Diceros bicornis minor: one gene and its partners. The protein of the gene in region 2 purifies or fractionates together with the protein of the main gene of each other region. This does not show direct contact. Links are inferred from orthologs where the notes say so. Each region holds a gene or a part of one and is shown on either strand. Other genes may lie near its edges.

Region 1 (7,830 bases), on a different chromosome or scaffold from region 2:
AAGTCATGGGGATTTAGAAATGCATGGGACTTAAAATAAACGATAATTAAACCGAGGCCTGAGAGATCAACTGATTTGCCCAAGATCACACCACTTGATAGAGGAAGAGCAGGGAATAGTAACTGAGTCTCCAGACTTTCAGTACAGTGCTTTACCATGATGTTGTATATAATTTTGAAAAATTAGTATACTGGAAGTATATCAATTCTTTTTTTTTTTTTTTTTTTTTACTATACCTGGTTCGTCAGGAAAAAAAATCTGTAAAAGAAGTGTTATTGATATAGTGATATTTTATTCCCCCTAGTTATCTCCATTATCAGTTTAAATCTGCATATACTTTATGTAGGGGAATGGGCAGTAGTTATTATAACTTCATTTTATAACACAGCATTAAATCTCAAATGAAACTTGTGTCTATAGGTAAAGGCTTACAGAAGTATCCCTGTTCAGAATAGAAAAAACTATAAGCTGGACTGCTTTAAGATTATTCAGCAACTGTTTTTCAGTTAGGCAAGTCTAATCTGCTATGTTTAAGCTACTTTGGAATTGACTAAATAGTTTTCCATTATAATGGATCAAAGAAAAGCTCATTTGACCCCTCACTACTCCTTGTCTTTCTCATAGGAGTGAAGTGCAACCAGTGGTCTGAGGAGGCTTCGATGGTGTTTCGAAATCATGTGGAGAAGAAACCTCTGGTGGCATTGGTGCAGACAGTTATAGAAAATGCTAACCCTTGGGACCGGAAAGTGGTGGTCTATTTAGTGGACACATCGCTGCCAGACACAGATATCTGGATTCATGATTTTATGTCAGAATATCTGGTAGAGCTTTCAAAAGTTAATTAATCACTGCTTCTGAGACCTTGACAACTAATTCAGATTTTTTAGCAATAACAAAATGTAGTAGGCTTTAAAAAAAATCTTATCTCTGCTACATGGCTCTGACTGCTGTGAGGGATTGAAAAGAATATGCTTATGTTTGATGAAAGATATTTAACAAGTTTTATTTTAACAGAGTTGACTTTTCAAAGAAAATTGCACTTGAATTATTACTATAATATTAGAATTAAAATGTTTATCAATATAAAAACTGACTACCTTATAATTTCTAGGCTTTATGATCTTAAGATGAAGAGTTTCCCTCTCTATTCATGTTGTCTTCCTTCCAGTGCTGGGTTCTTCTCCAGTTAGAGCGAGAATTTCATGACTTAACTCTACTCTGGTGTAGTGGTGTATCCCAGAGCAAGTGGTCCCCAAACCATGTGAAGACTATCCTGAGTCTTGAACACATGAGCATTGCTAATAGTGCTGCTAGAGGAGCAGCCCAGGCAAACCAGCATGCCCCTCACCCCAAATCTTGAGTGGCTTCTCATCGCCCAGAGAGTCCAGACCAAAGACCCAGCCTTCCCCCGTCTCCTTATCCAACTTCAATGTCCACCACTCCCCGCACCAGCTACACTGGACACTTACCTGGTCCCTGAGCCCCAGGCATGTTCACCCAGGACAACTGATATTCTAAAGCAAGCCTTGCTCCCCTCCAAACTATGCTTGTTCTATTCCCTCAGCCTGCAAATCATTCTCCCCCATCCACTTTTGTTTGTCAGCCTCCTCGCTGACCTCCTGGACTGGCCATGAAGCCTTCCTGGTGTCTGTCCTACTCCACTGTACTTTAAGTATGCCTCTCTTGGTGCCCAGATCTCACTGAGCTTTCTAGTATATAACTGGTTGCCTCTGCACCAACCACCCCAACTAGATTGTGAGCTCCTTGAGGGAGGAAGAGGTCTTAGTCATCTCTCTAGCCAGTGAGGTACTGGTGGATGTTTGACAACTGGTTCTGGTGGGTGTGGTGGGGGAGTGAACCTTGATTTGTAGCGTCTGACGATTCCCAATTTGTAAATACTCCCACTATTGTTGAGTTCCAACAATGTGACATCTCTGTGGAGTTGGGAAGAGAGGCACCCAAGCGGCTCTTGTGAGCCTGTACAATGGACTCCAACGCCACCCTCTGTATCCTCCCCAATACACAGAATGATTTCTTGCACGTGTCAGGCACCCATATGTGCTTGCTAATTGATGGGCAGGCTGGAGCGACAGCGGGATGGGTTGGAGGCATTAGCAGGGATCCAAAGATGAGGCGGGGAGGCCCTGGACGAAGAGTGGAGCAATGGGAATGAGGAAAAACATTAAAGGCTTTTTGAAGTTTTTAATTAGAATTATTAGAGCTGACATCTTAGATACAGAAGATAGGGAAAAGGAGGTGTCGAGGAGTGAAGCCAAGTCTTAAGGTCTGAGAGGGCCTTAGGATGATGACCCTTACTCAGGTTTTGACTGGGAAGCTTAAAATTTTGAACATACTGAGTTTAAACTAATAGACCTCTGTGTGAAGATACGCATAAACTATTGGAAATATGGAGTGGATTTCAGGGGAGAAGACTAGGCTAGAGATAAAAATTCTTAAAGTCATTATTTTTATTTGAGAAAATATAGGAAAAGTGAGAACAGAAAGAAGGTAAAGACAAGATGTTTTAATTTTTTCATGTAAAAACGCTGAAATTATCTTTCTAGCTTTTTAAAATTTGTATTTAATATTTATAATTAAAGTGATCCAAAATTCAGGAATGCTTATGCCAGTGACTTAATCATTTATGATAAAAATATCCTGACACATAAATGTTTAAGTGAAATAAAGTAGTGTAAATGTTTTTTATAATGGTTTCTCTCCCTAACAAAAAACAACAAAAATCCTCAAATTATCTATAGATAAGGAAGAGGTGGTCTCTATTTCATTGAATAAAGCAATTAATTATGTTGTTTGTGTAACTGAAAAATTAATCTGGTGCTAGGACAGTTTGGCAGACAGACAAATGAAACTTCACCCCGACCTCATGCCATTTTCAGAAGTCAAGTCCAGGTGGATTGAAAGCCTAAACATGAAAGGTTGCTGTAGGAGGACAACATAGGACAATAGTACCTCTATAATCTGGAGTAGGAAAGATGTCTTAAACAGGACACACAAAGTGCTAACAATAAAGAAAAAGAGGGATATACTAGAGGACATTAAAATGAAGAACACCTGCCCATGAAAAGACATGATGAAGGCGAAAGGCACAGCACAGAGGGGAGGAATATCTATATCGTGGGAAAATATGCTGTATATAGTCAATAAACAAAAGATTCTCCAGAAGCAAAATAGGCAATACATTTCAACAACCACTTCACAAAAGAGAAAAAGCAACTGGCCAATAAACTCGAAAAAATGCTCAACCCATTAGGACACAGGGACATGCAAATTCAAACCTCAGTGAGACACCGGGACTCAGGCACCAGAATGGCAAAAATGTTTCTGTTTTTGTTAATTCCTAGCGTTGTTGAAGATGTCTGCACTTCTGTAGGAGGGTGCTGGTAAAGAAGCTTCACAGCAGCACTATTTGTAACAGCTAAAACCTGGAAACAACCCAAATGTCCATTAATAGTAAAATGGACTTTTGCAAAACTGGTATATTCATGCAATGGAAACCTCTGCACCAATGAGAGTAAACCAACTACAGTCACATGGAACAGCATGGATTAGTCTCACAACATGGAGTTGAACAAGTGAAAACAAACTGGAGGAGAGAGGAGAGCAAGGAGGTGATTACCATCAGAGTCCAAGTGATCACGTTTAGGAGGGAGTTGTGACTCAGAGGGCAAGGCTGGCTCCTGAGCTGTCCGCAATGTTGTTTCTTGACTGAGTGGTGGTTGCAACAGGTGTTCTCATGATAAGAATTATTGACCCTGCACACTTATATTGTATGCACTTTTCTTAAATGTCTGATTCCACAACAAAAGCGTTTAAAATAAAAAACCTAGAATATTAAATCATTGCTTTATTTTAAAATATATGGCACATACCCCTTGAAAAGAGCATTCTCTTACAGCTGGGAGGGTTTTGTAATGTAGGAATATATTTTCATGGAAAACAAGATTTAAAAAAAAAAAACAACCAAAATCAAGGGTTTCCCATTAGTAATCTATCCACCAGGATTAAAAAGAGTTGATATTATTAGGGTCTACCCCACCAGAAACTTTCCCACAATAATCCAAAGAGACTTTACCTTCTGTCCATACAAAGTGCTTTTTATGAGCCATTTTTAAAATTAAAACACTTAAGTTTCTGTTTGGGTTTAAGTGGTTTGTTCTGGCAAACATATTAGCCGTTTAAGACAGTGGGACGTTTTCGTTGTGGTTAAGTTGTTGTTTTGGACACTCCATTCTCTGAGTGCGAGTGCGTTCGGCTCTGTTGGAGCTGCGTGTTCACAGATTGGTCGTTGTTAAAGCTCCGGCTCCTAGCGCACTAGCTGGGCTGCTGCCAAGAGGGGACGGGCCGTCGCTTCAGTCGCAGGAGGGAAAGGTGCAGCAGCCGGTCGGCTGGCTTTGCTCCATCCAAGGTCCTACCGATTCTTACATCCTAGACCCCGCGGGTATGAAAATCCGCCCACCTTTTTCCAGATAACTCTACCGTCGCTTAAACTCCTCCTGGTACAAGTGGAGACACCGAGACAGACTGGGGGCAACCCGCACCCACTTGGCCGCGGAGCCAGGCTTCGGGGCGGCCTGGCCCCTGCCCCGCGCTCCCCCAGCGGGTGTCGCTCCCCGGCCGGGGACGGTGTGCTGCGCCCCGGCGCCCCCGAGTGGAGGGAGAGGTAAGGAGGGCGAGGGCGGCGGCGGGGCGGGGCGCGGTGACAGCGCGGAGCCGGACCCGCCCCTGGCTCCCACCCCCGGAGCCCACAGCGCCCGCCCGCCGCCCGCCCGGGAGCTCCTCCAGCCCCGCGCTCCGCTCGCCCGTCCACCGGCCGCCCGCGCCCGCGCCAGCCCCGCGGCTCTACGGCCCGGTAAGCCCCCCACCAGGCCAAGGGTCCCCCTCGCGCTCGCGGGGATCCCTGCCCCCGCGCCGGGGCCCCAGCCATATCTGGGCAAAATATTCAGCTGTCGCCGCCGCCGCCAAGAGGGACTGAGCGTGGCTCCCTCTATAAATAGCCGCCGCCTCGGGTTGCCTCCAGCGCTGGGGAGTCCGGGTGTCGGGGTCCGAGCCCGGCGTTCCGGTCCGTGCCGCCCCGCGCGCCTGGCCCTGGCCGGGGCGCCCTCCTCTCTGGACCCCGGCGCTGCGTCTGTAAACGGGAGAAGGACCCGTGGGCTCTCGAGGAGCATCGCAGAGGGCCGGGGTCCTGGCGGAGAGGGCGCCCCCGCCGCCCGCTGGACTCCAGCGCGGCGGGGCTCCGCGCCACCGCCGCTCTGCTGGTGCAGGTGCCGGCCCGAGCCCGGCACGGAGGCGCGGCCTCCCTCCCCCTGCGGAGAGTTCGGGGTGGGAGTGGGGGCGGACGCGCTCGGGTGGACGTGGAACCCGGGTTCGGGCTGCGCCTGTTGTGGCAGGAAAAGTTTCCCAAACTGCGTGAGATGGCGAGGTGTAAAGCACCACGATACGTGCGTTTCGCGCCGAGGTGGAGCGAGCAAGAGCCCGGAGGCAGGAGCCCTCTCGCTCGCAAACTCACACGGTGGCCTTGGCAAGCCCCCCCCCCCCCCCCCGCTTCTCTGGGCCTCGGTTTCCCCGTTTGTAGGGGTGGGGTTTGGTTCTGGCAATGGAGCTAGGAGCCGGTCGTGAGAGCAGCGGGGCGCGCTCTTGACCGCTGGCGCTCACCCCACCTGTTCCCGGCTCCGGGCCTGGGACTCTTGGGGCACAGCCGCGCACGTCCTGAGGGGTGGTGGAAACCGGAGACTTGGGCGATCGCTCTGATCGGGTCGTATATTGGGACCTACTAGGCCCCTCGGAATAGCCTGGGTCGTACACCCCCAGGAAGGGCGTCCCCGGGTCATTATGGGCGTCTCTCTGAGTGGCAGCCATCACCTTCGCAAAGCAGCGTGTGACTCAAACAGCTTTAGACCCGATGAACTGGGCCGGGCCAGAGGCTCCAGCCCAGCCGCTCCCTGGCCTCAGTTTCCCCGTCTGTATAGTGCCTATGATGCGGCCTCAGAGCCTTCCTGCCGTTCCTGACCCTGCACTTGGCCTCGACCTTCGCCCTCTCAGACTCTTGGAGATGACCCGGCCCACGCGTTTCCGTGTCCGAATTACAGAACCAGACTCTAACCCAGGTTCTGGCCCCTCAGCGGGAGCACCCTGAAACTCCCCGTCTTTCTCCGGGTGGTGACAGCCATTTTGTTCTCCGTGAAGGGCCGCAGAGCCCCCTGCTCAAGGTCACAGCCGGTGGACTCCCCAGGAGGTCTGCGGTCTCCAGCCTTTCTCAGCTCTCTCCTGACACTTCCTGCTGGTCAGACAGGTCTCGGGGGCCTGTGAGCACCCCACCAATGCACCTCCTCTCTGATCTGCAGCTGTCCAGGACTTCCCCTTGCCTGGACAATAGCGCCCTCATCCTGAAGCTTCCTTTCTGCTCTACTTTACTTTCTATTAGTCTATACTCTCTAAAGCCGTCTCAAAGCCTCACAGATAGAATTAAGAGGAAACGGAGACAAATAGCAAGGTTCTCATTAATTTGAGCCACACAACAAGCAGGCAGAGAGTGAAAACAAGGAACCCTGTCGCTTCGTGTATTAGTTCTCTTGACTGAGCCAGTCTTGCAAACTCACATTGTAGATGGTCTTAGCCCTTGAGTTCCCCCCAGCCTAAGTGGAGAGCCAGTGTCCTCTTAAAATAGCCTCCACCCCACCTTATCAGAGCCTCACACCTTCTCCCTCCTCCAGGGTAGGGCTGCTTCCTGCAGCTCAGCGAAAACACAGAAACAGGGAGGACGCAGCAGAGCTCTGAGTAACAGGAGGTGGACTGGCCTGGAGGTTGGGACACCTGCCTCCAGCCCCAGCTCTGTCACCCACTTAGAGTGACCTTGAGCTGTGAGGGGGTGCACAAGGTCGTCTCCAGTGGACCTGGAATCCAGAGGGCTCCGAGTTTCCCTTGGAAGACTTTCTGGCATGAGAAAAGTGAAGGGACGAACTCCAGGGGAACGCACCCTGTGAAGGGGAGAGACAGAGTGGAAGAAAAGTGGCCTCCCAAGAGCCAAGGGAGAAGAGAGGTCGGCAGTGCCGTTTGCTGCGGAGAGACAGAGGGGATGAGGGCTAGGGAGGGGCCTCCAGGATTGGCAGAGGGTCATGGGTGACTTTAACCAGAGCATTGCAGAGGGTTCAAACATGGGATCTGCCCCTGCCTTACTGGGGCCAGTGACCCAGCCTGTCTGACGGAGCCTCAGTTTCCCCCTCTGTACAATGAGGATAATAATAGCCCCATTTCATAGGGGATGCTATGGGGATTGAGTGAGATGATGCAGGGAAAGCCCTCAGCCCAGTGCTTGGTACCTGCAATGGTGTCATTAGGTTTAGTGAGGGAAGAGGCAGAAGCTAATGGGAGCCGAAGCCGTGGAGACGAGCCTACAACTCTTCCACAAGCTCGGATGAGGAAGGAAGGGCGAGGGCAGGTAGCAGGAGCTAGAGGCAGGGCACAGAGAGGAGGCAGGTGTTTCTGGGATGAGGAGTGTGAGAAGAGAGGGAGGAGGCTCCGGGAGAGGGGAAGAGGGTGAGAGGAGACTCCAAGGGGTGCGCACAGCCCTCCTTGATGACCTGCTGACTGCCCTGGGCTCGAGAATCACATTCCCCTAGAATCCAACTGAGCAAAGAAAGGGTAAAATGAAGCCGGTCCTGGCTCAGACCCGAGTGTCCCCTTGGCAGTCTTCAGTATCCACGAAGGAGGGTGATGAAGGGCCATGAAGGGTAGTTTGCCTCTGCCCAGGGGCCTCGTGACCTTGGCTTGCTTATTTCTGAAATGACATCATCTATTGATGACTCTTGCTGA
Region 2 (7,222 bases):
GAGAGGGAGGAGGGAGGAAAGGAGAGAGGGAGGAGGGAGGAAGGAGAGGGAGGAAGGAAGGGAGGAAAGGAGAGAAGGAGGAGGGAAGAAGGGGTATAGGAAGGAGGGAGGAAAGGAGAGAGGAAGGAGGGAGGAAGTAGAGGGAGGAAGGAAGGGAGAAAGAGAGAGGGAGGAGGGAGGAAGGGAGAGAGGGAGGAGGGAGGAAGGGAGAGAGGGAGGAGGGAGGAAGGGAGTGAGGGAGGAGGGAGGAAGGGAGAGAGGGAGGAGGGAGGAAGGGAGAGAGGGAGGAGGGAGGAAGGGAGAGAGGGAGGAGGGAGGAAGTACAGGGAGGAAGGAAGGGAGAGGGAGGAGGGAAGAAGGGAGAGAGGGAGGAGGGAGGAAGTAGAGGGAGGAAGGAAGGGAGGAAGGGAGAGGGAGGCAGGAAGAAGGGAGAAAGCAAGGAGGGAGGAAGGGAAAGAGGGAGGAGGAAGGAAGGGAGGGAGGAAGGAAGGAAGGAGGGCCTGGTCCAGCCCCATGAGATCAGGACAAGTCAAATGGCCCCCCAGCCCTCCCACTTCTCAGGATCCCTCTCTTCTGAAATCGACACAGGTGGGCTGTGGGGCCACAGGCTCCTGGTCCAACTGTTGCCCGGGCCCCAGCCCTTGCAGCTGCTTCCCAGCACAGCTGTCCCACCACCTGTCCGGCTGCCCTAGCCCACCGCTGGGAACAAAGGGCTCTCAGAGAAGCAGGGTCTGCCTCTCTCCATTCCACAGATGAGATGAGACACTGAGGCAGAACTCAGAGACCCTGGTTCCCAGACACTGCTCTAGACATCCCATCTCCCTGAGCGGAACTGTCAGCCTCTCTGTGGGCCTGGCTCCTCCCAGGAACACCTGCCCTGCCCTTCCATTCTAAACCCTTGCCTCCTCACCTCCAGTTACCTTTCCCTGCTGTGGCCACAGCCCTTACCTGGTGGAAACCATAGCGAAGTTCAAATCCTTCAACAGGCCTTCAACCCTGAGCTCTGCCCCACCTGCCTTTCCAGCCAGATGTCCGTATCCACACCACATACTTCAGTCACACTGGATGGCTCCCTGATCCCGAACACAGTTCTGGATATTTCCCACCCTCAAGCCTTTGCATATTCAGGAAGGCCAGACCTGCTTCTGCACCCCATGCCCACCCCTGGCTGAAGTCCCTCAGGAACCCAATACCAGCTCCCCAGGAAGCCCTGTCCTGAGCGGCCCCTTCCCCAGAGCACTTACCACACCCTAGCAGGGACAGGAAGGGGCATCTGAGCCCACCCCAGATCCCACTAGACCCATGTTTCTCAGAAAACACATCAGAGGCAGCCTGGGCCTGGAAGGGTGGGAGCTGGTGAAACCGCAAGGAATCAGGATGGGGGCCCTGGAATCTATGTCTCACTAGCTCCACTCCTGGAGACAGACGCTTCCAACTGGAAGCTTCGTGAAGGCAGGATGACTAACCCCATCAATCAACATATCACTCTCTGGGTTCTGGGGCCAGCCCAGAGCAGCAGCAGTAGGTGTTTGTGATACTGACACAGACTCCGAGAAACCATCCTAGGCCAGAGAAACTGGACTGGGGTGGGGGGAGCCAAAATGTAGCAGGAAGATCCTTGGGTCAGCTGATGGGGGGTGCTGAGAGCAGGCAGACCCCTCAGGACAATCACACTCAGAACGTTAGGGCTGGAAGGGCCCCGGCTGTCCCAGAGATGGCTGAGCCAACCCCCTCCTCCTGTTTTCAAGAAGACCAGAGAGCAGCCGGAACTTGTGTGTGGTCACACAGCGAGTCGTATCACGTCCACGGCGACACGGGCTCTTCCCACTATAAAACCTGACTTCCTGGGTCCCCCGCCCCCAGCGCCAGGGCAGTGGTCCATTTCAGAGTGAGCTCCCTCCCACACCCCCACTCAGAGGCAACGTCAGGGAGGGCAGTGCCAAGCCTCCTCTGTCCAGACAGCAATATTACCCAAGACGCCCTCTTGCAGCCTCTGAATGTAGAGTCTGCCCCTGAGTCTTGAGACCCCCTGCACTGCTGGCTCTGTGCTGGGTGCTGGAGGCACTCAAGCCCCCTCTGCAGGATGTGATCCTCACACCCTTTTCACGAAATGCTATCTGGGCCCTTGGGAGTGAGCAAATGTGTGTATGTGTGAGGGTGCGTGTGTGCATCTGTGTGTGTGTCCCACACACAACCCAGATGGGGGTTGACGTACACTACTGATGAATAACTCGCTTTGGCCACATGGATGCTGCTGGGTGGTGGGAGCCCAGGCCTCTGCTGAGCAGAATGCGGGCCAGCAGTGGCTGTACGACCCTGCATGGGCCACCAGGGGGAAATGGGGCGGTGATGGACAGTGCCCACCATACTGGAGGGCGAGGGGGGTATTCTGAGGTGGGCTGTGCCTCTCTCCAGGCAGGGCCCATATCCCAAGGCCAGCTCCTCCATGAGGTCAAGCTGGCTACCTACCCTGAACTCCTCCCATGATCTCAGCCCCCCAGGGGCAGGGCTGGGACAATGGGTGGGCCGCCTGCCCGCTTAGCCTCTGCTGACCTCTCTCATGACTGACCTGCAAGACATGAGAGCTCGTCTCTGGCGTCCATCCCTCCAGGCCTGGCTGCCCGCCAGTGCTGCAGTACTGTGGCATGGACGCCTGGCCATCTTGTCCCCTCCTCCAGCCCCCAGGTCAGTATCCCTACTTGACTGCCATCCCAGCATGAGGGTGAGGCCAGCCCAAGGGAGGTTCCTCAGACCTGCCCTCACTCTGTGCCTCAGTTTCCTGCCTGCCAGAAGAAGAGGGGGCCTAGGGAACAGAATGGACACCTGCCCCAGGGCAAGAGTGTTTAGGGGAAGATGATTCCTGAATGGAGCAATGTGGAACCCCTTGGCTCTCCTGCCACCCTGGGGACTCCGGCTCCAGAGCAGGCAGTCCATCCCCTCCCACAGCTCAAGGGGAGACAACAGCTGGAGAGCGGCAAGAGGGCAGCCTAGCTCCTCCCTCACCAGAGAGCCACGAGCCCCTTGACACTGGGTGATGGAGCTAGGGACTCAGTGGATCCACTCACCCCCTCATCCCTCTCTGGGGGCTCCCTCCACATTTCTGTGCCTGACGGCTTCCTCTCAGGGACCCCAGTGGGCGGGCGAGGTAGGCAGTTGGGTCCCCTTGGCATCACCCAGCCCGGCTGATCCGTCCCTGCACTCCCCTTCAGATCGTCCCTGCACTCCCCTTCAGATCGGGGAGAGGAGGACTCATCCCTGCCTCCCCCGCGACCCCTGAGGGGAACAGGAGTCACTTGGCGGTTGCCATGTGGCAGTGAACATCTTTCCATCACATCCCAACTCGGAGAGGCCCCCCCGGTGGGCGGGGCGCCCCGGCCCCCAGCCCGCCCCGCTCCTCCCCCGCCCTGGCTTTCCTTTGTGCTGCGGCCGGGCCGGGCTGGGCCAGGCAGGCTGCGCTGGCTCCGCTGGCTCGGTCCCCGCCCCATCCCCGCCCGGTCCTCGCCCGCTCGAAGGTGGCGAAGGTGCCCTTGGCCGTCCCGTGCACACCTGTCCCCCGGGCCCGGGGCGGGGGCAGGGGGCGGGGAAGGGGCTCCCGCAGGGCCACGCGGCCCCGGGCCACACATCTGGACCCTGCGTCTCTCCGGGCCGCATCCCGCCACGGCTCCGCCGCGCGACTGGGGCCGCCTCCGGGCGCTCGGGGCCCGGCACTGTCCCGCCCGGCCGGCCCCTCCCCCGGCGCGCACAAAGGCAGCCCCTCCCCGGCCCTCCCGGGCCGCTGCACCATTTCGGGGTCTCCCCTCCCTCCCGGCTACGGGGCGGCGGGCCGCGCGGAAACAAAGGCGCGGCGGCGGCGGCGCGGGGACAAAGGGCCGGGGGGCGGGGGCGGGGGGCTCACCAGTCGGCCGCGCTCTCCTCCCGAATCACCTCCTCGTACGCCGCCAGCAGCTCCAGGCGGTGGCCGCTGAAGCTGACGCCGGCCATGCTGCGGGCCGGACCGAGGCCGCACGGACAGAGGCGCGGGTGGACGGACGGACAGAGGAGGAGGGAGGAAAAGAGGGAGTCGCCGCCGCCACCGCCTCGGAGCCTCTGCAGCGCCGCAAGCCGAGTGAGCCAGCGGGCGGGGGAAGGGGAGCCGGCCGGCGGGGGGCGGGGGGCGCTGGCTCCGCCCGGCTCGCTCCCTCCGCGCGCCCGGTCCTAGCGCCGCCCCGGCCCGGCCCAGGGGGAGGCCCGCCCCCCCTTCCCGGCCTGCCCCGGGGCGCCCCCGTGCCCCTCACCCACAGCCCCTGCGCGCCCCCCCGGGCGGAGCAGCCTCTCGGCTTCCAAGGCCCGTCTCACCAGGGTCCCAAACCTTCACCTACCTTGTCCCCGGCCTCAGCGCTCACCCTCTTCCCCAGCCCCGGGGTTTCAGCCCCGTCCCCACCTCACCCACCCCTATCCAGGCCCGGCTTCACCCCTCCTCTTTCCAGCTCCCGAGTTCCAATCCCAAATCCACTTCATTCCAATCCGGCCCAGCCCCACTCCGTGCTTAATTTCTTTCCATCCCAGCTTCACCCCCATTCCTGGTTCATTTCAACCCCCAGCTCCAACCCAGTTCACATACCAGCATCCCCTGGCCAATCTGCAGCCTGTCTCCACCCGTTCCTAGTCCATCCCCATCACTGCTCACCGCCATCTGTGTCCCCACCCCAAATCCAGCCCCATTTCTTTCCTATCCCAGCTCCAGCCCCACTCCCAACCCCTTGCCTAGCAGGCACCCCCACCGGTTCACCATACCCCATCCCTAGCTGCACCCTCCTCAGTCCAGCCTATCCTGTTCCCATTCTGATCCCAGCTCTCAACCACACCCCTCCATCCCTGCCTCCTTGTCCATTCGTAGCCCCAACCCAGCTCATTACCCCAGCATTCCCAACCTCTTCCCCCTTCCCTGCCCCACCCCTATGCTGAGCCCCAACTCCCTTACTAGCTGCCTCCTAGGCCCTCTCACAGGGGACCAGCCTAGGAAATCCTTTGCCTTCTCTCCCAAGCCTCAGGCCTCCCAGAGGAATCCCAAGTAGAGTTCCGGAAGCAGCATCTAACCCCAGATTCCCCAGGCAGGACTCCTCCAAGGACACTCCAGGGCAGCCTCCTAGCACCTTTATTTCCCAAAGCTCTGAGCACAGAAGGCTCTGGGGCCTCAGAGAAGTCCCCTGCAGAGGAGTTGGCACCACTGCCAACTCCTTGAGGAGCTGAGGAAGGGAGAATGTGCACTGCCAGGGCCTCCTGGAACCTCTCCACTCCTTGCTGAGTTGGGACCCCCGAAACCCTTCCCAGCTCTGAGAAGCCTCCCACCCCCATCCTCCCCGGGGAGGTGACAGAACCTGAGCAAGCTTTACCTGGTCCAGTGTGGGAAGTGGTGGAGGAGGGAGTCCCCCTGGGCCTCCGAGTTCCGAGTTGGGTGATGGGCCACGCCAAGAGGAGGAGAGCAGTGTGTGCACTGAGCTCCAGCAGTGGTTCCCAGGGTTTTGCAGTAAGAGGAACCTCTTAAAACTCAAAACAGCCTACAGGCCTCTGCCTGGGGAATCTCTGCGCCCACCATGCCGTGGACCCCTGGCCCTGGCGTTTTCTCCACGGCCCCCACCTGGAGCAAGGCCCAGGCAGAGTCAGTAGGATTCTGAGGAGGAAGGGGACCCCATAGCAGGGCTGAGGGGTACCAGGGAGGGGTAGGTAGAGGGGTCTCAGGCCTCAGTCCCTTCCTGCTTCCTGTGACTTATCCAGGCTCAGAACTCCCCCCACCTTCCCCTCCCGGCACCTTCCCAGCCTCCTGCTCACTCAATTTGCAACCAAAAAACAGAAGCCCTAGTGCACACTCGCCCTCCCTCAAGTTCCTGCCTCCCCTAGCCACCTACAAACTCTCTCCAGCCACACCCATTCTCACCTCTTTGCCATCTATATTTTTAAATAAACTTTTAATTTTAGAACAGTTTTAGACTTACAGAAAAATTACAAAGACAGTACAGAGTCCCTATGTGCCCCGTCCACAGTTTTCTGTATTTTCAGGGGAGCAAGAGGGTCCCCTGTTCCACGTCCTGAGACCTGCTCCTTCTGGTCTTCTCACTCTGCCCCTCTATACTGGCTTCATCCGATAATTTATATATCTGTAATCTGTCTCCTCCTTCCCCTGTTGTCCCGGGCACTGTTCTGGCCAAAGTCACTAGTGACCCCTAAATTGCCAAATTCAGTGGCCCCGTCATAGTCCTCAGTTTCCTCAACCGGGTGGGAGCAGGGTGACCACCGATCACTCTGTCCTCTGTGAACCTGCCTCCCTTCAGCCATCCGCTGCCCCTGAAACCCACACACTCAGCATTGGTGGGTGGGTGCTGGGTGCCTCCTGGAGGTTCTCCCACTAGGCCGCCACATCTACCACTCCCAGCGCTGATCACCCTTCTGGTGCTAACATATCAGGTCTCTCCCACCTCCAGAGCATGAACTCCCCCCACACTGGGTGGCTGGTCCAATGGCTTCTGGGTCCTGGAGTAGAAAAGATGAGAAAAAAGGAGAATTCAGATCCAGAAGCTGGTCACTTACTGTCAGAGCTTGGCTAAAACCCTTTCCCTGTCTGAGTTGCCTCTTTGACGACATGTTGTGAGGATAAATGTAACTGGATGGAAACTTAGAAAGTGAGAACCCACTCCCTTCCTCCTCGCAGCCCCGCCCTCCTCCCTCCCATGCCCACCTTCCTGTACTGTGCTCCCCCACACCTCTCAGGGAAGATTTCCTTTTTTTTTTTTTTAATAATTTTTATTTATTTATTTATTTTTCCCCCAAAGCCCCAGCAAATAGTTGTATGTCACAGCTACAAATCCTTCCAGTTGCTGTATGTGGGACGCAGCCTCAGCATAGCCGGAGAAGCGGTGCGTCGGTGCGCACCTGGGATCCGAACCCGGGCCGCCAGCAGCAGAGGGCGAGCACTTAACCGCTAAGCCACAGGGCCGGCCCGGGGAAGGTTTCTTTTTTCCTTTTTCTTTTCTTTCTTTCTTTTTTTTTTTGCTGAGGAAGATTCGCCCTGAGCTAACATCTGTGCCAATCTTCCTTTATTTTTTAGTATGTGGGCCACCAGCACAGCATGGCCACTAACAGAGCAGTGTAGTCCACGCCCAGTAACCGAACCCTGGCCGTGGAACCCTGGCCACTGGGGCTCGCCCTCAAGGAAGGTATCAAAGCTGACTTGGCCTCAGGACATTTT
Region 3 (7,212 bases), about 82 Mb from region 2:
TCAGAAGAGTAAAACTGTCCTCAAGCCATCGTGTTGGAGGTGCCAAACACTTCTACTCTCATCCTTGAGACCATTAACTAGCCTGTTTCTGTTCAGAACATTATTGGTGATAACAAAAGACGGTTGTAAACAAGCCAAACACATTTTACTGACATTCAGTATCTGCTGTGTTCTGGAGCAAGTGGGATGCCTTTGGAGAATCAACCGGATAAATTCTGTTTCCCTACAAATCCTTCATTCTTTTCTTATCACTACTTTTAGTCTTGACTGCTTATTTAGTTTCTTCCTAACTGTGTGGCATAAACTAGGAATCTTGATATTTCTATGTATGCAGAGATATCTTTTAACTTATTATTTCTACCTATGACTTTATTTGAAGCAATAGTGGTATTTTGGTAATTAAAAAGAGGGAATTTGAAAGGGAGTTGCTATTATCTAATGTTAAGCAATTAAAAACAAAATCTGGCTTTAACCCTCTTTCCCGCAAAGTTTTTCTATCTCCTGGATGTCTTTTCATTGAAAAAGAGATATCTCATGACCAGTCTATGAACACCCCATTGCCATCTCCTATTAAGGGCACGGAAGTAAACTCTGTAACTAAAACAGATGCCTTCGCCCACAGGTTCTAAAATCAGAGGATATTCATAAACCTCTCCACAAATTTTCACAGTGTAGTGGGAAATAGGAACTGTTAAAAATTTGAAACTCTACTAAAGTACTTTCTGCCTCTTCCGGTAAAAGAAAATATATTACTTTCTAGGAAGCTCACTACTTGAAAAAACATACAAAGCAATCAGGGTTGGAAATTCATGGCTTGCATTTGGGTTACATGAGCTCAATTTTAGAAGAAAAGATATTTACTTTTAGATGGAAAGTCATAGAATGGTTCTCTGACTCCTCTCAAAATTGTATTGGAATTGTTTCAAGAGAAGAGAAAAGGCACTTACTTTATTATTTTTTTTCTGAGCAGATATTCCATGATACATGTTTTATTTATTCCTTTGGGTACATAGACATATGTATTCCCTGATATACTAATCCCACACAAGCTAGAAAGAAAAATTGACCAATTATTGGTAGAATTTTCTAGATTAAGAGTGGAGGCTGAAGTTAAATAATCACATAAACCTTGAGTAATTATATCACAATGCACAATTCAATTTATATAGAAAAAAAGTTGCTCTCAATTTTCAGTCAACAAAAGAGCAGTTGAGAAGAAATCATGTAGCTTTGAAAAGTAGAAACTCTAATGAAGGGTCACCATTCTAAAAGCAGCTGATGTGCTGTTTTGACAGTTGGGTAAAGATGAGGGGGAATAAGACTGTAAACCAGAGGAAGTCTTGATGAAAGGGTAGAATGAAGTGTTTGAAAATGGTAAAGTGAAAGCTTTAATTAACGTGGATGGAAAGAGCAGGAAAGAGAGAAAAGTGATTTAGTTCAGATAGGAAATAGTTTGTAGAGAAATTTTAATAGAGTAATAATTTGTATTTTAATTTGCAAGGGCCAAAGGGATGACATTATTTGAAAAATGACAGTTTTATTGTTTTAATATTTTATACATAAGTAAGAAGCTCCATTCATCTGAAATATAAATCAGTACTATTAATACGATAGTATATGTTAAACAAATTAGCAAGCAGGGGTTTGCTTTTGATTAACTTTTGTTATAACCTTTAAAAAAACTACTTTCAATATTTCAAATTACAAGCAAGATCATGATTTTATAATGTGAAGATAACCAAAAAGCCTGATTTAGTTGCAAATCGGTCCTAACTCTTTTGGCTAGTGTCCTTTAATCTTGGACTCCTAACTCAATCAAGAAAATGTAGATGCAGAAAGTTGAAAAACCAAATTTTTTTTTAACCACAAATGGTATAAATTCGGTGGAGTTCTAGCTTCTTTTATTTAAACTGTTCTGATATCCATTTATAGCTCTCCTAACAATCATTTTATAGATTGGTAATCCTATGTCCTGGATTTTCCAGGTCACTTCAGATTTCATGTATTTGGTTTCTTGTCAAATGATGTGTCCGGATTTTGGTTTGGAAAACGTGGTCCCTGAATTTATAGACTAACTGTGAAACAGCGATGGCCTTTGGCATTATGTAATAATCGTATTTCTGGGTCATGATTATCAAATTAAATCAAATCAAAGCTCATTATTTGAGTCTACCTAATAATAAACTATCAAAATAATGACATTTTAAAACTTTGTAGAAATTTGCAATTTGAAAAGCATTCATAATATGATTTATTATAGACACAAACACACACACACGGCTAATAAACCTATAAAAGGCTACTCACCCTTGCCATATAGGAAATGAAAAACAACATACTTCAGAGATACAGTAATTACATATTACATGGTCAAAGCCAAGGAAGACAAAAACAATCTAAATGTGCTTGTGTTAATATTATAAAAAGGATTTGGTGGTCTTTCTTATTTTTAATTTCCATAGACTGGAACTCATATTCTCTATAAACCTGAACTGAGAGGATATATACTGGCATTTGCTATGCGTGTAACAATAACCACGAGTGAACTTTCTAAGATTGACTTATCCTATGCCAAAACATTGCTGTTTTGCAAATGAAAACATTTAGATGATTTGATGCCCCCCTTAATTACTATTCTTTATAACATTACAACATTTGTTCATGGCTCCGCTCTTTATCCTTCCGTGATTTAGGTAACCACTAAGCAGAAAAAAAAAAAAAGTTTTAAAATCGACTGCGTCCGGAATGGCATTTAATGTCTTTCGAAAATTAAGGTGATTTTCCCCAAGTCTTGTTGGAAACCTATCTACCACTAGTGAGCAGGCTCTCCTCCCACATTTCCGTGCGAGTTGGGACTTGAGAAGCCCGCGGATGCTGCTGCAACAGAGGTGGGAGTGGAAGATTCGATGTCACCCGCTTGACACTTCAGCAGTGTTGCTATGAATGATTCACTTGTGTTTGGCACATTTGTTGCAAGGAAATCTCCTCCTCCCGCCGCTTCCTTCGCCGAGCTCCTCTCGGGCTGTCTCCTGTGCTTTGGCCTTTAAGCTGAAGCGAGAGCAGGTGGGCACAGAGCAGCTCGCGGACTCCTCCTCCCCCTGCTCCTTCCCTAATTTAGCAGTACTTCCGGCCGCGTGACATCATCCCCCGCACCCCGGTGACGTGAGCGGCGGGTGACGTGTGTGCGGAGAGAAGCGCGCTGACGTTGCTATTTAAAGGTCCTCCTGCGGGGAGGATGGAGACACAGCGCGAGCACCTGGTGTGGGGTGTGGAGGAGGCAGTGGCGGCCGGGAGCGGGGCCAGAAGCCAGCGGAAGAGCAGAGCGCGCGGGCCGCCCGCCGCCGGCCGCTAGGGGAGGGGGGAAGGAAGGAAAGAAGGACGGACGGACTGACGGACCTGCCGGCCGGACTTGCTCCCCTCGAGGGCCGGCTGGGCCGCTGACCACCAGCCTTCCCGCCGCCCGCGCGGCTGCCGCTCCCTCCCGCTGCCCGCAGAGCCCCGCCGGGCATTCGGGACGGGTCGGCGCGCCAGCCCCCGGCGCCCGGCCGCGGCTCCGCGGGGCCGGCCGTCTCCCGCCCCCTCCCGCGAGCAGGGGGAGGGCCCGCCCCCCGCTCTCCCCGCCCCCTGCCCGCCCGGCGGCCGCGCTCGCCTCCCGCGGGCGGCGCTGACTGGGAAGTGGCGCGCTCCGCTCCGCGAGCGGCCGGTGGAGGCGGAGGCAGCGGCGGCTCCAGGCCGCCTGGGCCGGCGCTGCTCTGCCGAGCGGGAGCCGGAGGCCGGGGGAGGCGGGCGGTGAGGGAAGTGTGAGGCGGCGGCGGGGCCCGGGGACTGTGGCGGCGGCGCGGAGCGGGAGAGGCGAGGAGCAGGGTGGGGGCGCTGGAGTAGCGGCTCTCCCGCGGCTTCGAGCCCCGCGCCCCTGCCTTCGACGCGAGAGTAGCCGCCCGCCTCAGCTCGGGCGGGCGCCCGTCGACCTTCCCGCCCCGTCCTCCGCCGCGGCTCGGCCCGCCCCGGAGCTGGGGGCCGGCGGCGGCGCGCGGCTCGGCTCTGTGACTCATTCATTCCCCGCCGACGGGAGCCTCGGACCTGCGGTGCTCCGAAGAGAGGAGGGGAGAGGGGCCGCGGCGAATGAAGGGCCGGGCGCGAGCCAGGCTCCATTGTGCTGGGCGGCGGGGGGCGGGCAGGGGCTGAGGGAGGGGGATCGCGCCCCCGCCCCCCGCTCCCCGGCGTGCGCGGCGCCCCCAGCCTGCTGCCAGCCTGGAAATGGCTCCGTCTATTCTCCTCGGGAGAATGAAGCGATCCTGCCCAGCCTGCTCTTCCTCCTCCCCACCGCCTCTCTGCTCCGAGTCTTAGAAGGGGAGACGTTTCACAGACAGACTCCAATGTGGAGTGCCGTGCACGTCGCGAGCTGCAGGGTTTGCACTTCGAGGAGATTTTTCTACATCGCTTTTTCTAATGTGAGCGCAGGGAAGCAGTGGCATTACTGCTTTTAGGATTTTTATTTTCTCCTAGGGCTCTCTAAAGTGCACGTCGCATTGGGTTGCACGCTCCACCCCCAGGGACCTGGGGTGGGAGAGAAATCTGAACCCGCAGCCTTAGTAGCACCGAAAAGGCCGAGTTACCTGCTTCTCTCTGAGTGTCGAGGAGGACATGAGCGAAATGACCACCGAACTCATTTTTTATAGGACTCGGTGAAGCTGGATTCTGCGCTTTACGACACAGACTCATTTTGTGGAATAGAGTTGACCGCTGTCTCCTCCGCGCAGCATTTTAACTCCAATAAGCAAATGCCCCCTCTGTTTGAACGTTTTGGTATTTACGAGGGAGAAATCATTTTACCTAAGGGAACTAATTGAATTGTCAGCATCACTGAAATACCTCCAGAAAAGGATCTCGGGGGGTGGAAAAGCGACTGCGAAATAGCAGACGGAGAAATTCCTTTGGAAGTTATTCCGAGCATAAGAGCAGAAACTTCAGAGCAAGTTTTCACTGGGCAAAATGGGGTAAGGATTTTTGTGTTTAACACAGCTTCGAATCTGCTTATGTATGTGTGTTATTGAGCGGTGGTGGCGATTGTCTGGGTTTTGTGTTTTCAAGCAAATTCCACCTTGCTAAGCTGGTCGTACTTGAAAAATATAGGTGTGTTAGCATTTTAACAAGTTATTTTTGTAGAGTGACGCCGGAAGTCATAATGAAGGAACATACGTATATCGTTTGTAACCAGAATATAGTTTTATTAGTAATGTGTAAGAAGACAACACAGTCTGCACTTTACTGGTTACACTGCCGCATTAGTTTGTACTCGAAATCGTGTTTTAGGTTTTGTTGCTGATATCTTTCAAAGAGAAGTACTGCGTTCTCTCAGTACTTTGAGAAGAATCAGTTGCACAGAGGAACAATTGTACAGTAATGGGTGGTTAGACTACAGCCCTTGAAAATGATCCAATGTAAATTGTTGCCCTTACGGTGCCCTCTATTTTGCCCTTGAATACCCAAAGCTAAAATGTGTAGAAGTGATTTATTGGAGCATTAAAACGAAAATCTGAAAGTCTTACTGATGTGGTCTGCACATGGCCGATGCACTTGATAGGAGATCAGAGCTTGAATAGGAAACAGCTTTTTGTTGAAGGAACTTGGTCACTTTTTCTGTTTTTTGCTTTTAAGCTCAAGTCTTCAATTTGTGTTAACAATGTCAGATCTACACCTTCTTTCAAATCCAAAGTCAGCCAAGAGTGCATTTTCCAACCTTTTATTAACTCTTCACACAATAACTTAGTCTTCCTAGTTTAAACCAGAAACCCATAATATATTAATGGAGTAATGATCTGGTCATTTCATTGACCGATTGTCAATGCTTTTTGTCGAAGAGGAACTTCCAGAATTTTCTTTTCTCTCTTTTTTTTTTTGTAGTTGAACAAACACATCTAAAGGGACAGGAATTGAAAGGATAGACTCTGAAATTCACTGTGACAGTATAAGGGGTGTGCACACCTAAACTTTCTTTCTGGAAACTTTCAGAGGAAAGTTCTTAGATAGTATTACCTTTTGTGTTGGAGTTAAAATTTGAAGTTTATTAACTTGAACAAATTTGAAAATGTAGATATTGTAGGAGCCCTTGGTCAGGAATTAAGGAGAAAGAGCGATAATTGTTTTTTAAACTTAAATGACAAGTGATGAGAATATATATAACTTGCATAATTTGGGATGCTGCTGAGAGCAGTTAAAATACCTCATTCTATTTCTAGTGCTGCTATTAGTAGCTTGGTGATCTGAGGCAATTACTTAACCTCTGTGGACTCTGTTTTCTTATCTGTAAAATGAAGGAGTTAGGTGAGTTTAACAAAATTTTGTAATCTGTAAAAGTGAATTCTTTTCTTTTTCTCCTCCTTTCTATTTTAATGATTACTAGTTGGTTTGAGGTAAATCTTTCAGATGGAGAGATTGTTTTCTCTAAGCAGTTTTTAAGCACGTAAGCTGGAAAATAATGGCATTTGAAAAATGTTTTGGATGAGTTGCACCAATTTTAATGAGACAGGATACTGAAAAATACTACTATTCAGAATCTTTGAAATATGGCTTCCTTTAAGAATCTGCAGCTCTTCTGTTTAAAACATGTCAGAGCAAAAAAAAAAATGAGGTGGCAGTTTTTCCTGTCGAAGGCTGCATTCTCTCTAGACTGTGGAATAGTAGCATCGTGGAAGAAGATTGGTTTTCCACAACCTTTAAGCTGCATGAATGCCCATCATTTTACCAAGGGAAGCTTGGGATGAACTTAATAACAGGGAGACTGGTGTTTAAAATATGAAAATAAGCTGCCACACGTAGCAGCACATTTTAGATACTTTAGGGTAATTAAATTTGTTTATAAACTAGTATATTTGCCCTTAATAAAGCCATAAAGGTGGACTGGAGAGGAAACGGAGTGTTAAAAACATTATTTTTCTGAAAGTCTATATTTGGGGCTATGACTTTCTCATTGATAGTGACTTGTTTCATCTGAGTTGTCAAGAGAGGATGGGTAGGTGGAACTAGAAGAGAAGGGCATGCAGAGAAGGCATTTGTGGAAGTTTCCACACTGGGTGGGTGTTTATGCCTAATAAATGTTTGCAGAATAAGCATAGCCTCCTGCACCCAGTTTTACCCAGGCAGTCCTAAATTACCTTATTCTGACGAGTATCTAAAATTTAATATTGTGGGTGAAGTGTTTCACATGTCATT
Region 4 (7,521 bases), on a different chromosome or scaffold from region 2:
TCATTTTAAAATAAATTTCCTTCCTTTGAAAATAATTTTTTAAAGAAAATATGTACAGACATCCAGCCACTTGATTTGTGCAGAGGCCCGTGCAAATCATTGGGGGGAAATGGTCTTTTCAAAAAACAGTCCAAGAGCAACTGAATACTCACATGGAAAAAATATTCCTATCTTATACCACCCACAGAAATTAATTCAAGACCTAAATGTGAAAAGAAAACAAGCTTCTAGAAGAAAAGAGAAGAAAATCATCACGATCTCAGCAGGACTCAGGGGCGCTAGCCATACAGGAAGACAATGGATAAGACGAGACTGAAGTCTTGAGAGGACGCGGGGTGGAGGGAGGCGATGACGAAGGGAGTGCTGGGGTGTGTGGGGAAGCGCCCAGCCCATCCCAGGCACCCAGAGAGGGCAGGGTGTTTGCAAAATCGGAGCAGGCGGCCAGCAGAGCTGAGACGCGAACCAGGGAACCAGGAGGGGCTTCTGACTTGTCCAATTCTGTACGCCCATTCTGCAGGTGGGAAGACGGAGGCCCAGCACCTTTCCAGGGTCCCCAGGGCACCCAGGAGAAGACCCAGGCGCAGCCCTGTCCCTCCCCCCGCATAACCCCAAGACCCACCTGGGTCAGATGTTGCTCAGAAGCAAAGCCCAGGCCGTAGACAGTGTTGGCACGACTGTCTGCCCACTGCCCAAACTTCTGGGAGGTTTTGGTAAAGGTCATGTTGGGGGTGACAGTGCTGTTGATGATGGCCTGGGAAGGGGGGAGCAGAGTTCAAGGTTGGTGGGACTGGTAACAATGGACATGAAACCCCCACCACCACCCGGCTATCACTTTGTATTAGCACCGCGGAGGTCCTTGCTCTGAACTATTTCAGGATGAAGGGAAGAGGCCCAGAAAGGGTTAGGGCTCCTCCAGGCACAGAGCAAGGCATCGACCAGACCCAGGCCTGTCACTCGGACCCCTGGCACCTGCCGCCCCACCCAGGCCCCGCAGGGACCTTGGCACCCCCGATGCTGATGATTCGGTAGACGTTGCGGGTGGCATCATAGAAGTAGGAGACGGTGAGCGCGTGCTTGCCCGCTGGGATCCAGTTCCGCTTGGTGGCCGGGTCGATCTGGAACACATGCGCCCGTGTGCTGAAGATGGGCTGCTCCCTGCACGGGGAGAGGGTGCTCAGTGGGGCTGGGCGCCGCCCAGGGGGCTCAGGGCCAAGCAGGTGGAGATGGGGGCTCACCTGGCTGTGGACATTGGTCAGGTTGAGCTGGGCGGGCTCCAAGAGGCAGCCAGGGGGATGGCAGAAGCTGCTGGCTCCACCTCTGGAGGGAGAGGGGGCCTGTGAGTGTCCCCCACAGGCCAGGCTGAGGGAGGCCAAGCAGGTCCAACCTCAGGACCCACCACCAGGAGCACCATTCACAGAACTTCAATCAAAAAGGTGAAGGACTCAGTAGATCACTCAGAACCAAAAAACCGGTCTCTCTCCATCTGGAGGAAGCCCCCACAACACCCTGGGCAGGAGACGGCTCTCTGAGACGAGCTGGGGCCCCTGACATCCCAGTGTAAACCTCTCACCGGCCCAGTCACTGGACCCCAGTGAAGCCCCCTCAGTCTCAGAGCTGGGCTGAGGAGGCCAAGGCCAACTCCCGCGCAGTACTTTCTGCCACATTCACCCATCACTCCCCAAACCAGGGCACCATCAAAAAGTGGGGCACAGCCAGGGGCCTACTGGGAAACCAGTCTCCCACTGGGCTCAGAGAGAGACCTGAGCTTCCACTCTGGGGCAGAGGCACACCTTAGAGACAAGGTCCAATGCTCAGGAAGCCTCCAGCTTCGTTAAAAAGACAAGATGTAACCAAAAAGGTCCACCCTGCTGCCTACCGCCAGACCTCCCATGCCACTCAATCCCGACACCATGGGGGGCCGGGCGGGATCCAGATCCTGGAGGGACCTGGGGGAGGGGGAGGCAAAGCGGGGGGGAAGGGAGGCCCCGGCACAGCCCTGTCCTGGGCAGCTGCTGTCCCGGTCACAGGGTCTGAAACCCGAGCCCCTAGGTGGAGGAGGGGCGGCAGCTTCGGCGGGGTTGGGGGTGGGTCCTGGGTTGGGGCAGGGCTCCCGGCGCCGGGGTCCCAGGAACTCAGGCCCTTCCGGCACCGACGCTTCTGCCGCGACCTGCGGCGTTGGCGTTCGGGGAAAGTTACTCACCAGCTAGTCATGCGCCTCGGCCGCGGGGCTCCCGGAGGGGGCCCGACCCTGCCCGGTGCCGGGGAGCCCCAATCGCGTGCGGGGGCGAAGCCCCACCCCATGCGCCCCAGTGCCGGGGGCCTGACAGTCAGTCAGGATCGAGTCCCCACCGCCGTCAGGAGCGGGGCGCCCCGCGCGCGCCCCAACTTCGGGAGGCGCGGCTCCTGACCCCGGAACTTCTGAGACCCCCGCGACGCACCCCGACTCCAGGTCCAGAACTTCGGGGGCACATTATCTGCCTCCTCCAACTCCAGGTCCAGAACTTCGAGGACCCTCCGCGCCGCCCCCGACTCCTAAAGTTCGGGGACCTTCTGCCACCCTTCCATCTCCAGGTGGGGAATTCCGGGGTCCCCTCGTGCCGCCCCCACACCCACGGTTCGGAACTTAGGAGACACCTTCGCAGCCTCCTCCAACGCCCGGTCCGAAACTTTGGGAAGCCCTCGCACAGTCCCTTCCCGACCCCGACTCCGGAACTTCGGGGCCCCGGCGCCCCCTCAAGCCCTGGAACTTCGGGGCTCCCCGAGCCGCCCCCAGCCTCCAGGTCCGGAACTTCGGGGACCCCCGGAGCCCTCCCCCGGCCCGGGAACTTCGGGGGCCCCGCGCCCCCGCGCAGGCTCGGCGGGCCCGGCTCACCCTGCCGGCTCGGCGCCTCGCGAGTGTCCGGGAGCGAGTCGGGTGCGACCCCGCGGCGCCGACTCCCCGCTGCCCGGCGCCCCGCTCGCTCGCTGGCTCCGGGGCCCGCGCCCTCCGCGCCGCCCTCCGCGCCGCCGCCCGCGCCTTTGTCTGCGCCGCCGCCGCCGCCCGCGCCGCCTCCGGTCCCATCGCGGCGGGTCCGACGCGGCCGCCGCCCGCCCCGCCTCCCCGGGCCCCGAGGCCGCCCCGCAGCGCCCCCTGCCGGCCCTCCGCGGCGCGGGGGAGGGGGTTCAGGGTGGGGAAGGATAGGGTGGGGAAGAAGGATGGGGTGGGGGTGGGGGCAGAGACACAGGAGACGACAGACAGACAGACAGAGATGGACAGTGGGGAATGTGGCTTCGTTCTCTCGTCAAGGGTGACCCCGACACTCCAGGTCACTGCTGCCTTCTGCCCCTGATGGGAGTCAGGTCCCTGTCCACCTGAGGGGCGTGCAGGGACAGAGGCACATCTGCCACTTTGGTGGGTGCAGGGCCTGCACACAGTAGGTGCTCAGTGCATGTTGCCAGGAAATGAGAGAGACCTGGGCAGAGAGGGGGCGGGAAGAGGCTGAGAGAAGCAACCAGTAGACACTTAATGGGGCTTGATCTTGGGTGCCCTGCTCAGAATCCTTCTTGCCTGCCCTCCCGCCCAGCCCTGATCCCCCAGGCTCAGGCTTCTGTCTGCCTCTCTCTCCCCTGAGACCACTGTAGCAATGCTAGTGATGGTTAGATTACGATGACTATCGCTGTATCCCAGGGTCCCAGAATCCAGGGCGGAGGGAAGGTGGGTGTCCAGTTCCCACCGAATGGGTGAATCCCCTGGAGGTCTGCGGGCCTGGGTTTCCACCTCTGGTTGGAGGAGCCCAGCCCTCATACATTTGCCAGGAGAGGCTCTTTCTGCAGCTGAGCCGGAATCGGCCTCCCCAGGCCCCAGCCTGCCTGTGGGGCCCACTTAGTCGCGAGGCTGCCCTTTCTCCGGAGATTCCTCTGGGGCCACACAGAGTCGTCTGCTTGGTGGGCAGCGCACGGGGCTCCTCAGAACCGGCCCGCAGTTCCCTGAAGCTCTGAGCCTCAGGTCTGAGCTTTCCAACACCCTTAGGGGTTTTGCTCTTCATCTGCTCTGCCCCTGTCCCCTTTCCCTGTTCTTTTATTTCTGTTCCTCCTGACAAGAACCACACATCTGAGCTAGGAGCTGCCTTCATATTCCCGTTAGGGAATTCCAGGTCCTGGTGTTTCTGGAGACTTATTCCCAGGCCAAGGTCTGAATTTTGCTCCCTCCAGGCCTTTGCCCAAGCTGTCTCCTCCCCATGGAGTGCTCTTTCCACAGGCATGTATTCTTCCTTTCCTTCCAGGCTCAGCTCCGCTGCCCCCTCTCCTCCTGGAAGCTTCTCTGACTCTCCCAGGCTTGGAAGGGATCTCACCCTCCCCTACTCACAACCCCATCCCTTTCTGTGGGATCCCTGGTCTGTGTTACCTGGTTATTACTTCTGGGTACTCCTGGAGGGCCAACCCGTCCTGGAGCCCCAGCCTCACCCGGCACGAGAGGGACTGCTTACCCCAGCTGGGGAAACTGAGGCACAGACTCAGTTTCCCCAGCTGCTTCTAAGTTCACAAGGCATCTGCACAGACAAAGGATTTGGCTTCGCTCTCAGGCCCAAAGCCACAAAATGCTTGAACATTGTGGGGAACAAAGAAAATACCGTCTGTTCTGTGCAAAGAGTGACTTTTCCTTATTACCAAAAAAATAACCAAAAAAAAAAGTAACTGGAAAGGTGCCGGCAGGGTCGAGGCTTCTGGAAGCCACTCAGGATGTGCTGAGTGCTGGCCGGCTGCAGAGCTGGGGCCACGTGGCCATTCTCTGGGGGTGGCTAGGCCAGGGGCCCGGGCAGACTTTCCTGCGTATGTGGGCAGAAGGCAACAGCATGAGGGAGAGTAGGGCCCCCTCTCAGACCTCTGGGAGTGGCTGGGACAGGGCTAGCCTTGAGCAGCCCTGACCTGAAGTTGTCGTAGTCAAGTCCAGACTGAAGGAACGGCTTTATCAGTGTGGATCTCAGTTTTCTTGCCCGGACAATGGTCTGATGCTTGCAGGGCTGGGGGTGGGGGAGGAGGCAGGGAGGAGCCAGGCAACAGCAGCAGCTCCTCACTGTCCCCTGGGTATCGATGGGTGGGGGCTGCCCTGAGCTGCAGCCCCCTGCAGCCTGAGCCCTCTGCTGCCTGGGGATGTCCTTGCAGGGTGGCAGAGGCCATCACCACAGGGTGGCTGGCTAGAAGCAACAGCGTTCACTTGGGGCTGAGGAAGGCATGAGGGAAGGAGCTCCCTGTCACAGGAGGGACCAAACAGGGACTGGAACAGCTTGCTCTGCTCTAGGGAAGCTGCCCTTGCAGAGTGGCTCTTAGGGGTCAAGCTCTGTCCTCTGCCTACTTCAATCTGACCCAACCTTTGGACTAAAGCTAAATCGTCTGTCCTCTCTGGGGAGCTGCTGTCCCACCAAATCAGGGTAAGTCTGTCACTCTTCCCAAAGCCACCTGCCCAACGATGTGGCACAGGTCACAGTGGCCGCTTAGACCTGTTGTGTGTGATTTGGTTACTGTCCACCTCTTCCACGGCTCAGCACCTAGAGCAAGTCTGACCTACAGCAGGAACTCTGTAAATGCTTCCAGAAGGCGAGGAGCCCTAGGCCCCAGCCTTGGTTTTTGGTGGTCCAGAGTCACATGAGCCAGGGAGTGAATCCTAGCCTTGCCTCTTACCAGCAGTGTGACCTTAAGGAAGCCACTTTCCCTCTCTGTGCCTTAGTTTCCCCATCTATAAAATGGGAATAAGAATGGTGCCCACTTCTGAGGTTTGCTGTAAGGATCCAAGGAGTCCTTGCGTGAAGAGGCGTGACTCTAGGAGCTTAATAAATGCTTGCCATTATAAACATTGTATTTATTCTTGGCTGTCCAGCATGTGGTATTGATCCTGGGCCGAGTTCTTAAGATTTTCTCTTTTAGGAGTTGAAGGGTCCCAGCCAGGCATGAACTCTTGAGGACAGAAATGGGTCCAACCTGGCATGATATCCTCTAAATCTTTAGCTCTGAGGCGCTTGTGCCCCTCCAGCCATCTTCCTCCTCTTTCTCCCCCTTCCCCCAGCATCGTCAGTTGGGCCAGCCACCAGACCTTGTCCTCTTGGAAAACTCCTATTTATCCCTCAAAGCCCTACCTCCAATGCCCTCTTCTCCAAAAAGCCCTCCCTCCTCTCCCTCTGGACTCTTCCCAACACCCTCCTTCCTTCTGGCCAAACCCTGACCCCAAAGGCCTGGTGGCGTCTGTGTTCAGCTCTGACCCCCAGCCTGAGGGCACCTGGAAGTGTGCAGGCACTGAGGAAGCCTGGCTTCCCTCGGGCTTGGCATCTCCCAGCATTGGATGGACACATTGGGGTCATGGCAGAGGAGAGTTCGATGACTCAATACTGGTGAGTTTTTATCATTTGACAGGGACCCCACCTTAAATTTAGATCCAACCCAAGGCCAGGTTTAATTCATTAAACAAACAGCTCCCAGGAAGTGACAGAGCCAGGCCCCTCAGGCCCAGGCATGAAGGGGCTAGGGGAGGGTTTGGCTCTGGGTTATGGACTTGAGCTCCCAGGACCAGGGCGGGTTGGGGGTGGGGGAGGCCATCCTCGAGCCCCCTCCAAACTCCGGACCTGGATCTGCGGTTCGGTTCCCACAGACCTAATTACCCTCATTTGCCACATGCACTAATTACCTGCACCGTGCCAGGTGGCTGGGCGGGGCTGGCCCACTTTGGGGAGGTAGGTCGGAGCCCGATTATTTTTGGCTATGTCGTCCTTGAGGGCTCTGCCATCTGCCTGCGTGAAGGGCAGAAAGTGGGGCAAAAGAATTGCGGCCACATCAGGAGGGACGCTGGGAGACTTGGGGGTCAGTCGGGTTGGCCCAGGAGCTCCCTGAGCAGGGAGACTTGAGCCCGAGGCCTGAGGGTCTTTGGCACCCACCTGGAGGCAGCAAGACCTGGAGGGGCTGAGAATCATCTAGCTCCACGGTGGACTGGTCTGGAGGCCTGTTTTAAACGTGGCACCATTGGTGGGAGAGGGCCAGGGTGCAAACCTCACTCCCACCAACTTGATGCATGTTCCTGGACACGTGACCTTCTCTTTTTGCACCTTTCCTGAGGGATCAAATGAAGATAATAACTTACAAAGAGTGCTCTGGGCAGAGGGCACAGCATGTGCAAAGGCCCTGAGGCAAGGATGGGCTGGGTGTTTTGGAGGAACAGCAGGGAGGCCAGGATAGCCAGAGCAGAGTGAGTGGGAAGAGAGTAGGGGGCACTGAGGGCTAAGGGAGTCACAGGAGCCAGGTTGGACCTCATGGGCAGTGGTGAGGTGTGTAGGCTTTGTTCTGAGTTAGGATTCACCTCTCTAGGTGCTGGGGAGCTATGGGAGAGTTTGGAGCCAGAGAGAGAGGGAAGTGATCAGCTTTACACTTCAGGCTCCAGGCCAGGGTTTCAGCTCTTGGGAGAGAACTAGATGTCTGTACATGTGCAGAATGGGGATAGACTCTCCCTTTCTCTGAACCTCAGTTTCCCCATCTCGGGTAGAGGCCTGAGGCTTGGAC

Evidence for each region. The genes of interacting proteins can lie anywhere in the genome.
Region 1: the proteins of DBN1 (region 2) and TMOD1 purify together in Homo sapiens (co-immunoprecipitation; 3 studies listed by BioGRID and IntAct, with this or other methods). This does not show direct contact. The link is inferred for Diceros bicornis minor from reciprocal best matches to the Homo sapiens genes DBN1 and TMOD1.
Region 3: the proteins of DBN1 (region 2) and HOMER1 purify together in Homo sapiens (co-immunoprecipitation; 3 studies listed by BioGRID and IntAct, counting the BioPlex papers as one, with this or other methods). This does not show direct contact. The link is inferred for Diceros bicornis minor from reciprocal best matches to the Homo sapiens genes DBN1 and HOMER1.
Region 4: the proteins of DBN1 (region 2) and HOMER3 purify together in Homo sapiens (co-immunoprecipitation; 3 studies listed by BioGRID and IntAct, counting the BioPlex papers as one, with this or other methods). This does not show direct contact. The link is inferred for Diceros bicornis minor from reciprocal best matches to the Homo sapiens genes DBN1 and HOMER3.

Annotation. Positions count from the first base shown.
Region 1 is NC_080767.1:7,812,069-7,819,898, forward strand, and holds the start of TMOD1 (tropomodulin-1), read left to right. Parts: upstream 1-4,817; 5' UTR 4,818-4,870; intron 4,871-7,830. Other genes in the region: TDRD7 (tudor domain-containing protein 7), read left to right, coding at 625-845. UniProt on the Homo sapiens protein: Blocks the elongation and depolymerization of the actin filaments at the pointed end. The Tmod/TM complex contributes to the formation of the short actin protofilament, which in turn defines the geometry of the membrane skeleton.
Region 2 is NC_080740.1:90,682,905-90,690,126, forward strand, and holds the start of DBN1 (drebrin), read right to left. Parts: upstream 3,004-7,222; 5' UTR 2,935-3,003; coding exon 2,570-2,934; intron 1-2,569. UniProt on the Homo sapiens protein: Actin cytoskeleton-organizing protein that plays a role in the formation of cell projections. Required for actin polymerization at immunological synapses (IS) and for the recruitment of the chemokine receptor CXCR4 to IS.
Region 3 is NC_080740.1:8,252,245-8,259,456, reverse strand, and holds the start of HOMER1 (homer protein homolog 1), read left to right. Parts: upstream 1-4,199; 5' UTR 4,200-4,992; coding exon 4,993-4,997; intron 4,998-7,212. UniProt on the Homo sapiens protein: Postsynaptic density scaffolding protein. Binds and cross-links cytoplasmic regions of GRM1, GRM5, ITPR1, DNM3, RYR1, RYR2, SHANK1 and SHANK3.
Region 4 is NC_080759.1:6,480,441-6,487,961, forward strand, and holds the start of HOMER3 (homer protein homolog 3), read right to left. Parts: upstream 3,014-7,521; 5' UTR 2,873-3,013; intron 1,318-2,872; 5' UTR 1,250-1,317; coding exon 1,236-1,249; intron 1,156-1,235; coding exon 999-1,155; intron 752-998; coding exon 620-751; intron 1-619. UniProt on the Homo sapiens protein: Postsynaptic density scaffolding protein. Binds and cross-links cytoplasmic regions of GRM1, GRM5, ITPR1, DNM3, RYR1, RYR2, SHANK1 and SHANK3.